Linked DNA regions of Oryzias latipes. The protein of the gene in region 2 purifies or fractionates together with the protein of the main gene of each other region. This does not show direct contact. Links are inferred from orthologs where the notes say so. Each region holds a gene or a part of one and is shown on either strand. Other genes may lie near its edges. The genes, in order: gart and inositol polyphosphate 5-phosphatase K.

Evidence for each region.
Region 1: the proteins of inositol polyphosphate 5-phosphatase K (region 2) and gart purify together in Homo sapiens (co-immunoprecipitation; 3 studies listed by BioGRID and IntAct, counting the BioPlex papers as one, with this or other methods). This does not show direct contact. The link is inferred for Oryzias latipes from reciprocal best matches to the Homo sapiens genes INPP5K and GART.

Annotation. Positions count from the first base shown.
Region 1 is NC_019860.2:23,313,887-23,317,697, forward strand, and holds the end of gart (trifunctional purine biosynthetic protein adenosine-3), read right to left. Parts: intron 3,587-3,811; coding exon 3,418-3,586; intron 3,351-3,417; coding exon 3,119-3,350; intron 3,055-3,118; coding exon 2,960-3,054; intron 2,893-2,959; coding exon 2,783-2,892; intron 2,722-2,782; coding exon 2,523-2,721; intron 2,454-2,522; coding exon 2,202-2,453; intron 2,139-2,201; exon of another isoform or gene 2,053-2,138; coding exon 1,900-2,052; exon of another isoform or gene 1,829-1,899; coding exon 1,421-1,828; exon of another isoform or gene 1,348-1,420; coding exon 1,217-1,347; exon of another isoform or gene 1,151-1,216; coding exon 1,009-1,150; intron 963-1,008; exon of another isoform or gene 946-962; coding exon 830-945; intron 768-829; exon of another isoform or gene 754-767; coding exon 568-753; 3' UTR 476-567; downstream 1-475. UniProt on the Homo sapiens protein: Trifunctional enzyme that catalyzes three distinct reactions as part of the 'de novo' inosine monophosphate biosynthetic pathway.
Region 2 is NC_019871.2:19,602,309-19,606,119, reverse strand, and holds part of inositol polyphosphate 5-phosphatase K, read left to right. Parts: intron 1-443; coding exon 444-553; intron 554-832; coding exon 833-859; intron 860-1,282; coding exon 1,283-1,514; intron 1,515-2,550; coding exon 2,551-2,688; intron 2,689-2,760; coding exon 2,761-2,844; intron 2,845-2,911; coding exon 2,912-3,016; intron 3,017-3,094; coding exon 3,095-3,184; 3' UTR 3,185-3,811. UniProt on the Homo sapiens protein: Inositol 5-phosphatase which acts on inositol 1,4,5-trisphosphate, inositol 1,3,4,5-tetrakisphosphate, phosphatidylinositol 4,5-bisphosphate and phosphatidylinositol 3,4,5-trisphosphate.

The DNA.
Region 1 (3,811 bases), on a different chromosome or scaffold from region 2:
TTTTCTCCAGTGGATTTTCTCCCAGAGAAAAGCAGCTTTGATGGAACGTAAAGTGTCAGAAGCTGCTGCATCCACTGGGTCATTGAATAAAACGGTTCAAGACTTACAGAATGTGAACACTGGAACTGAAGTTATTCAGTATAAAGTGATGCATCTTTGTCATTTTCCTACAGTTTTTAGACACTTTCAGGTCATGTTGTCTTTCTTTGAACCACAACTAACCTTCTGCTCCGGTTCTCAGGTATAAAGACGGCGTCTCTGCGGTCGGTGAGTTTCTTAAAGCTGGCGCTCCATCACACCTGTCTATTATCAGCGTAAACAGGTGATTATGCTGATTAAAGGCTGGTGTGATGGAGCCACCAGGGTTGGAAAATCCAGATGTGGCTCAAGGTAAACATCTGACCTGGAAGGTCCTTAAGGTGAGATTTGTCTTCCAGGACTGTAGCTTCGTACAGAATCCACACAAACATCTCCATCATCCTCAGCAGGATCTTTATTGGGAATGTTACAGTCAAGTCTATCAGGTAAACTACACGGTTCACATTAAAGGACCGTCCGTCCAGGTCTTCAGCTTTTCCAGAGGATTTGTCCATCTCCTCCTAACTTCACAGAACCACTGGACACCAGCTCCATGGCAGCAGGAAAGGCTCTATGCTCCGCCTCCCTGATCCTCTCTGACAGCGTCTCCTCTGTGTCTCCAGGAAGGACAGGGACCGCCTCCTGGACGACGATGGCGCCGGCGTCCACCTCCTCCTGCAGGACACACGGTCAGTCTTTGTCCTCATCACAGGTTTACTTAGAGTTCAGTGATAAATAAATATGTACTTACAGCCACAAAGTGCACCGTGCATCCCGCCACGCGGACGCCAGCCTCCAGCGCCTGTTTCTGAGCGTTCACTCCTTTGAAGGACGGCAGCAGCGACGGGTGGATGTTCAGGAGTTTACCTGCAGCAGAAGCAGAAGTAAGTAGACTGTGACAGCTCCATCCAAGACGTCAGTGATCATCACCTGTCCACTTCTTCACAAAGGTTCCAGTGAGGATCCTCATGAATCCGGCCAGACACACCAACTCCACGCCAAACTCCTCCAGGACGCGGTCGATGGTCCCGTCAAACTCTGCACGGCTGCCAAACAGTTTGTGGTCGACCACCTGGAGGACAACAACCAGTGACATCACAACATTCACATGTTAAATATACTTTATACATGAACGTACCCGTGTCTGGATGCCAGCAAGCCCCGCCCTCTTCAGTCCCTGGACGCCTGGTCTGTTAGAAATAACGACCACGATCTGCGCCGAGCTGGACGCACGTCTGGTCTGTTCGATGAGCGCCTGAAGGTTGGTTCCTGCGCCGCACAACAACAACCGTCATCTTCTAGAAACCTTCCACCAAGAAAGACGCTTAGTGGCCGGACTCACCTGTGCCGGAAATGAGAACGCCGACTCTGGTCTTCTTCTGTGGCGGGGCGCTGCTGTTGCCGTGGTAACCATCGTTTTGTTCTGCTGGTCCCGCCTTCGTCAGGCTTTGGTTCAGGTTGCGGACCAGCACAGGTTGAGAACCTGCAACCCAGAATCTTTTAGGAAAAGCGAAGCTGTGGGCTGAAGTCACAAAGTTCTCCGTCTCACCTGGCTGCCTGTCAATCAGAGACCCCACGATCCAGGCCGCCTCCCCCTGGAGCTGTCGCAGCACCTGCTGAGCATCCGGGGGCGCCACAACCAGCACCGCCCCCAAGCCACAGTTAAACGTGCGGGCCATCTCCTCCTCGCTCAGGCCCCCCTCTTTGTAAAGCCACGAGAAAACGGCGGGGATGCTCCACCTGGTGGCGTCTGAGGAAGAGGAGGAGGAAGAAGAAGTGAGCTCCTGACTCCAAACCGCGGGAAAACCTCAGCTTCCTCACCTAGATCCGCCGCCAGCTTCTCAGGCAGAACCCGGGGGAGGTTCTCCAGCAGCCCCCCACCAGTGATGTGGGCGTAGGCTTTGACGGCGCCGCTGCGGAGGACGGGGAGGAGGAGGCGGCTGTAGATCTTTGTGGGGGTCAGAAGAACATCTCCTGGAAGCAGAAGACCGTCCACAAGACGACTTTAAATAAAGTTTTTCTGACATGTGTTTGAATAAAAACTTGATTTGAACTTTGAACTGGAAAATACTTCCGTTGTATTTTTTAGCCTGACCTTTGAACCTTAACAAACCAGAACTCACCGACGGTCTGACCCGGTTCTCCAAACGGGGCGGGGCAGCTGTAGCCGAGGTCGGCCCTCTCCAGAACTTTGCGGACCAGACTGAAGCCGTTGCTGTGGACCCCGGAGGACGACACCCCGATCAGCAGGTCTCCCTCTGCGATCTCCTGCAGCCGCGGCAGCAGAGCGCCACGCTCCACGGCGCCCACGCAGAACCCGGCCAGGTCATACTCTCCCTCAGCGTACACGCCCGGCATTTCCGCCGTCTCCCCGCCTAGGACGGAACAGCGTTAGAACCCCAAACCAGAACCTAGAGCGGTGCGATCAACCCGGGCCTTCTCACCCAGCAGAGCGCAGCCGGCCAGCTCGCACGCTTTGGCGATGCCGCCCACTACGGCGGCGGCCGCGTCCACGTCCAGGTGGCCACAGGAGAAGTAGTCCAGGAAGAAGAGCGGCTCGGCGCCCTGAGCCAGGACGTCGTTCACACACATGGCCACCAGGTCCTGACCCAAACTTCCATGCTTCCCACACGCCTGTGCCACCTGAACACACCAAACGGTTAGACCGCCGCCAAAATGCCAGGATGGCGCTCCAGCGACGGACCTTCAGCTTAGTCCCGACTCCGTCCGTCCCAGAAACCAGGATCGGGTCCACAAAGCCGGCGGCCTTCAGGTCAAAGAGCCCGGCGAAGCCTCCGAGTTCTGCGTCACATCCTGAAAAGACACAGGGGTCAGTCGTCCACGCAGACGCGGTCTGAAGTGGCGGCTCCTCCTGCGTTACCGGGGCGCGCCGTGGCTTTGGCCAGAGGCTTGATAGCGTCCACCAGCCGGTTTCCTGCGGAGACGTCCACCCCGCTGTCCCTGTAGGTCAGGCCTCTGTGGGAGAGCAGAGCTGTAGACGGACCGCCTGATGCGCAGACGCCACATGGCGCTCGCTCACCTGCGCCGCTTCAGGAAAGCGATGGCCCGGTGGCCGATGTCGCGCCGGTACACGCCGCCCTGGAAGCCGATGGTCGCCACGCCCTGGCTGGCCGCCTGCAGAGCCGCCTCGAGGGTTGGGCGCACAGCCGTGACAGTCAGGACCCGTCCGCCACTGGAGACCACGCCCCCTTCCTTCAAAGCGGTGCCGGCGTGGAAAACCTGCAGCCCCATGTCCTGAAGCAGAGACAAACCTGCAGGACGGACGCGCCGTGAGGAGCCTGCAGACACCTGAGAGCAGACCCCGGACGCCGGCCTCACCTGAGATCTCCACGCCCTTCCTGTAGGAACCGGGGTATCCAGCGCTGGCCAGGACCACCGTCACCGCAGAGGCGTCCTGCCGCCACACGGGGGCGTTAGAGGCCAGCTTCCCCTTGACGGTGTTCATGATGACCTGATAAAGGTCGCTGTGCAGCAGCGGCAGCAGCACCTGGAAAGGTGAAGGTCAGAGGTCGGCAGGCTGTTGAGTTCAAATGATCAAACGCTAAAGAGATAAATAATTAAACTATTATAGTTTATTCTAGAAGACAATCATTTTTCTGTTCCTTCATTAATGCTTCTACCTAGGAGAAACGGTTCAGTTTTTTCCGTCACTTGTTTCAGCAAATATATTTTTACGTACAGTAATTCAACTTTTTAAAATGTTTTTTTAGCT
Region 2 (3,811 bases):
GACCCCTGCTTTAGCATCCATGTGGTGTTGGACAATTTGTTGTTTTTCATTCTTCCGATCATTCAAACACAACATGAACGCAGCAATTCTCTAAGTTTGCGTTTTACACAAAGTACATCAAGCTATTGGTGCAATTAGCTCTAAAATGAGAACAGAAGGCATTGTTTTGAAATAAAAATTCAATAATGTTCTGTTTTAAAATGTATATAAATTTTAGATCTGAATGTTTCTGTCCAGATTCCATGTTATTTCTTTCTCTTATACAGTGGATTACCAAAACACTCCACGCACCTGCTCCCGGAGAAGGACTCCGGCCCTTCTATTGAATTTTAGAACCCTCTGAGGCCCGCGAGTCAAAAAGTCTGCCCTCCCCTGGTCTAGATGACTCACCTGATACCTGCTCATGCAGAAACTCTGAGTGAATCTAAACTGTGTCCTTACAGTTAAATATGATGAAGAAAAAGGAGGCGCTGCTACAGGAGTTTGAGGAGGGGCCGCTGGACTTCGCGCCCACCTACAAGTTTGACCTGAACTCTGATTCCTACGACAGCAGGTTAGAACTTCAGTGAACGTGATGGTCAGATCTCTGCTGTAACGATGCTTTGCCTTTGAGGGGCCAGCTTGTTCCTGGGGGGTGGGGCAACGTTGATGAGGAACTGGCTGAGGTAGGACGGGCAGCTGAGCTGGGTGGGGTGGGACTCATTCTGCCATGTACAGGTTTCTTGGTCCTCACAAATGTGACTCTAAAAGAGCAAAAGACAGAAATCATCGACCAATGTTGGATCATGTTTTGAGACCTTTGGTTTACTCTTCACCTGCTTCTCCTTCTTAGGTTCTACCAAACATGGTTTGGCTTTAAGTAAGACATTTCTGTGCACATTTATATGTTTGGTTGCTGTGAGCAACCACTAAACATCCCAGTAAGCATAACCCCTGTGTGGTCTTGGATTATAAGGTTTAACACCCCCTAATGCTTTCAGAACTGGATAAAGCTTTATTAACACGCTTGGTTCAAGACCTCATGACTCTGTGGAACACGTCTGACGTTTAAATTCAAAAGCAGGTTTTTGTTCAAGTCCCCTTTTACTGTTTCCTCGCATGTTGTGCTTCTTACCTCCATGTCATGTTGTCCCGTCATGCTTCTGTCCAGTAACACCATGTCAGAGAAGAAAGTTCACTGAACATTCAGCTGAACCTCCTCCACATCAAGAGCTTCTCAAGACTTTAAAAATCAGAATTTTAGCAACTGATTTACTTTTCTTCTGTCAAATAAACTCTGTAGCGGTAAGAAAAGAAAACCGGCCTGGACCGACAGGATTCTGTGGAGGATCCGACCTAAAGCCCCGCCCCCTGACGAGCAAGAAGAAGATGGTTCCAGGCCAGATGTCAAAAGGATCCGACAGCTTGAGGAGGATGAGGAGTTCCCTCTGAAGGTCAGACAGGAGCTGTACTCCAGCAGCATGGAGTTCAGCATCAGCGATCATAAGCCCGTCCTCGGCATCTTCTCTGTGGAGGTGAGACGCTCCGCCGTCCGGACGACGTCAATTTGTTTTGTAAATTATGTTTGAAATCTTTAAACTTTCAGTAACTGGAACCCTAAAGTCTGATTTATTATATTGTTATATTATATGTTGTTATATTAGCTCCACACTCAAATTCCAGCAGTTATATTATCTAAATCTTGCAAAACATTTATGTTTAACAATACTAACACACTTTTAAAATCACCAGTTACTCTTAACCACAGATATCAGATCTGTTGGTAGATTTATCTAAATAAGTGGTCCCCAACCCTGCAGACAGGTATGGGTGCAAAGCACAGTTGGTACCGGGCTACAGACAAAAAAAACACCTCCCACATTTTGTCCATCTTATTTCTAATCTGATTCTGAAGAAAGCTTTTATTTTGGAAAACTACTAGATTCTCTCCACCACAGCCGACTCATACTTGATGCATGTGAAGTCACTCAGTCACGTGTCAAAATCTATTCGCTTCTTTGTTAAAACAGCTGTGCCGACCGTAAAATTGAAAAACCTAAGCTAGCAAAGTTAATAAAAGACGAACGTATTTGGAAAGTTTCTTTTGGCAGAAAAGAGCCAGTGAGGAAACAGAAGAGAAGAGGCTTTGACTTCAAAATAAAAGAGAGCTGCATTTAGCAGACAAAAACCAGGAGTTTTTACGCCAGATCTGGATTTATTGTTCCTACACACCATAATAAAAATGCATATTAATATTCAGCAACCAGTTGCCTAATATTCAGAGGATGCTGCCAATAAAGTGGTTCAAACGGTGGATTCGTGTTTATAGTTATATTTAGAAAATACCAGTTTTAGTGACCATTTATTTTGTATTTATCCATCGCACCTTTAAAGTTTGTGTGGGTTTTTCGAGTCGAGGGAACCTAGAAGTAAAAAAACTGGACGTTCATTTCATCGTCGTACCGGCTGGTCCGTGAAAACGTTGTCTGACATTGAACCGGTCCGAGGCCAGAGAAAGGTTGGGTCCCACTGATCTAAAGTAAAAGGTATTCTGTTTCTACGCCCCTCTAGCTGAAGAAGAAGTTCGATACTCCTCTGGTGCGTTTGCAGACAGAAGGTGACTGGAGCGCAGATATCGACTCCATGATCCTGTACAGCCCCCTGCAACCATTTCCCTCCAGCAGCTGGGACTGGATTGGACTGTATAAGGTGACTTGTCTATCGGCAGCTGCTAAAGACGCCTTTGCAGGAGCAGATTCATGAGGTCTTTATGGGTTCCAGGTTGGGTTCAGCAGCGTCTCAGACTACATCACCTACACGTGGGTCAAAGACAACGAGGTGGCCTTCAACCAGGAAGTGATGCAGGTACCCGTCTGGAGATGGAGTTTGGGTCATTCACGTCTGCTGGAGCTTAATGAGTTTCTTCTTGCAGGTTTACATCAGTAAAGAGGAGATCCCTGTGAGGGGCGGGGACTGCGTGTTGTGTTACTTCAGCAGCATCCTGCAGTGCATTATCGGAGTGAGTGAGCCATTCAAGGTCAGTTAGCTGAAAACATTTATAAAGGTCCGTCCTCAGACAAAGCTGCAGGTCAGCTCTAGTGCTGTTCTTCTCCAGGTCCGGGAGTCCTGGGTGGCCACTGAGGAAGGTCTGCTGCCCGACAGGATCAACACACACGACCAAATCACGATGGACAAGGATCTTTGAGCCTGGACTTGATCACTAATCAGTGACGGGGTTCATGCATCATTTCAAGCTTTCAGTTACTCAGACAACTGAAGTTTCCAGAAATGTTTCATTGGACCTGAAGAAACCTCTTTTTCTCAGGATGGCTCTTCTGACCTTCGTGTTTTCCGTCATTCTGAACATTCACGTTGTCTCGGGTCTCACTTGTGAAAAATCAAGTTACTGTAATGTCTATAATTTATTAATATTGTGTGTTTTTTGTTGTTAGGAACAACTTAGAAGAAGGTTCGTGAAAGAACCTGTCACTCACAAACGTCGCATTCTCCTTCACCCCTAAGATCAGATCATCTTCAGTTAGCCTTTACGTAAAAACAGATTTACAAACATAAAAGGGAACAGCAGAAACTGGCAAAGCTCATCCACCATGTTTGAACTGCATCCATTCAAAGCCTCGTGGCCTTTTGCAGTGGAGGATGCAGATTTTCTGCTATCCCTGCCGGTCCACTGCTGTACATGACCCTTTCAAAGTAAAAGCAGTCTGATGCAGGAAACATTTTTATTCTCTTCCTGTTTATGGTGTTCTTTCAGCCAGAAAGCTGAACACAAACTTTACACGTTTTAGAAAGAAATTTTTACTATATATATTTA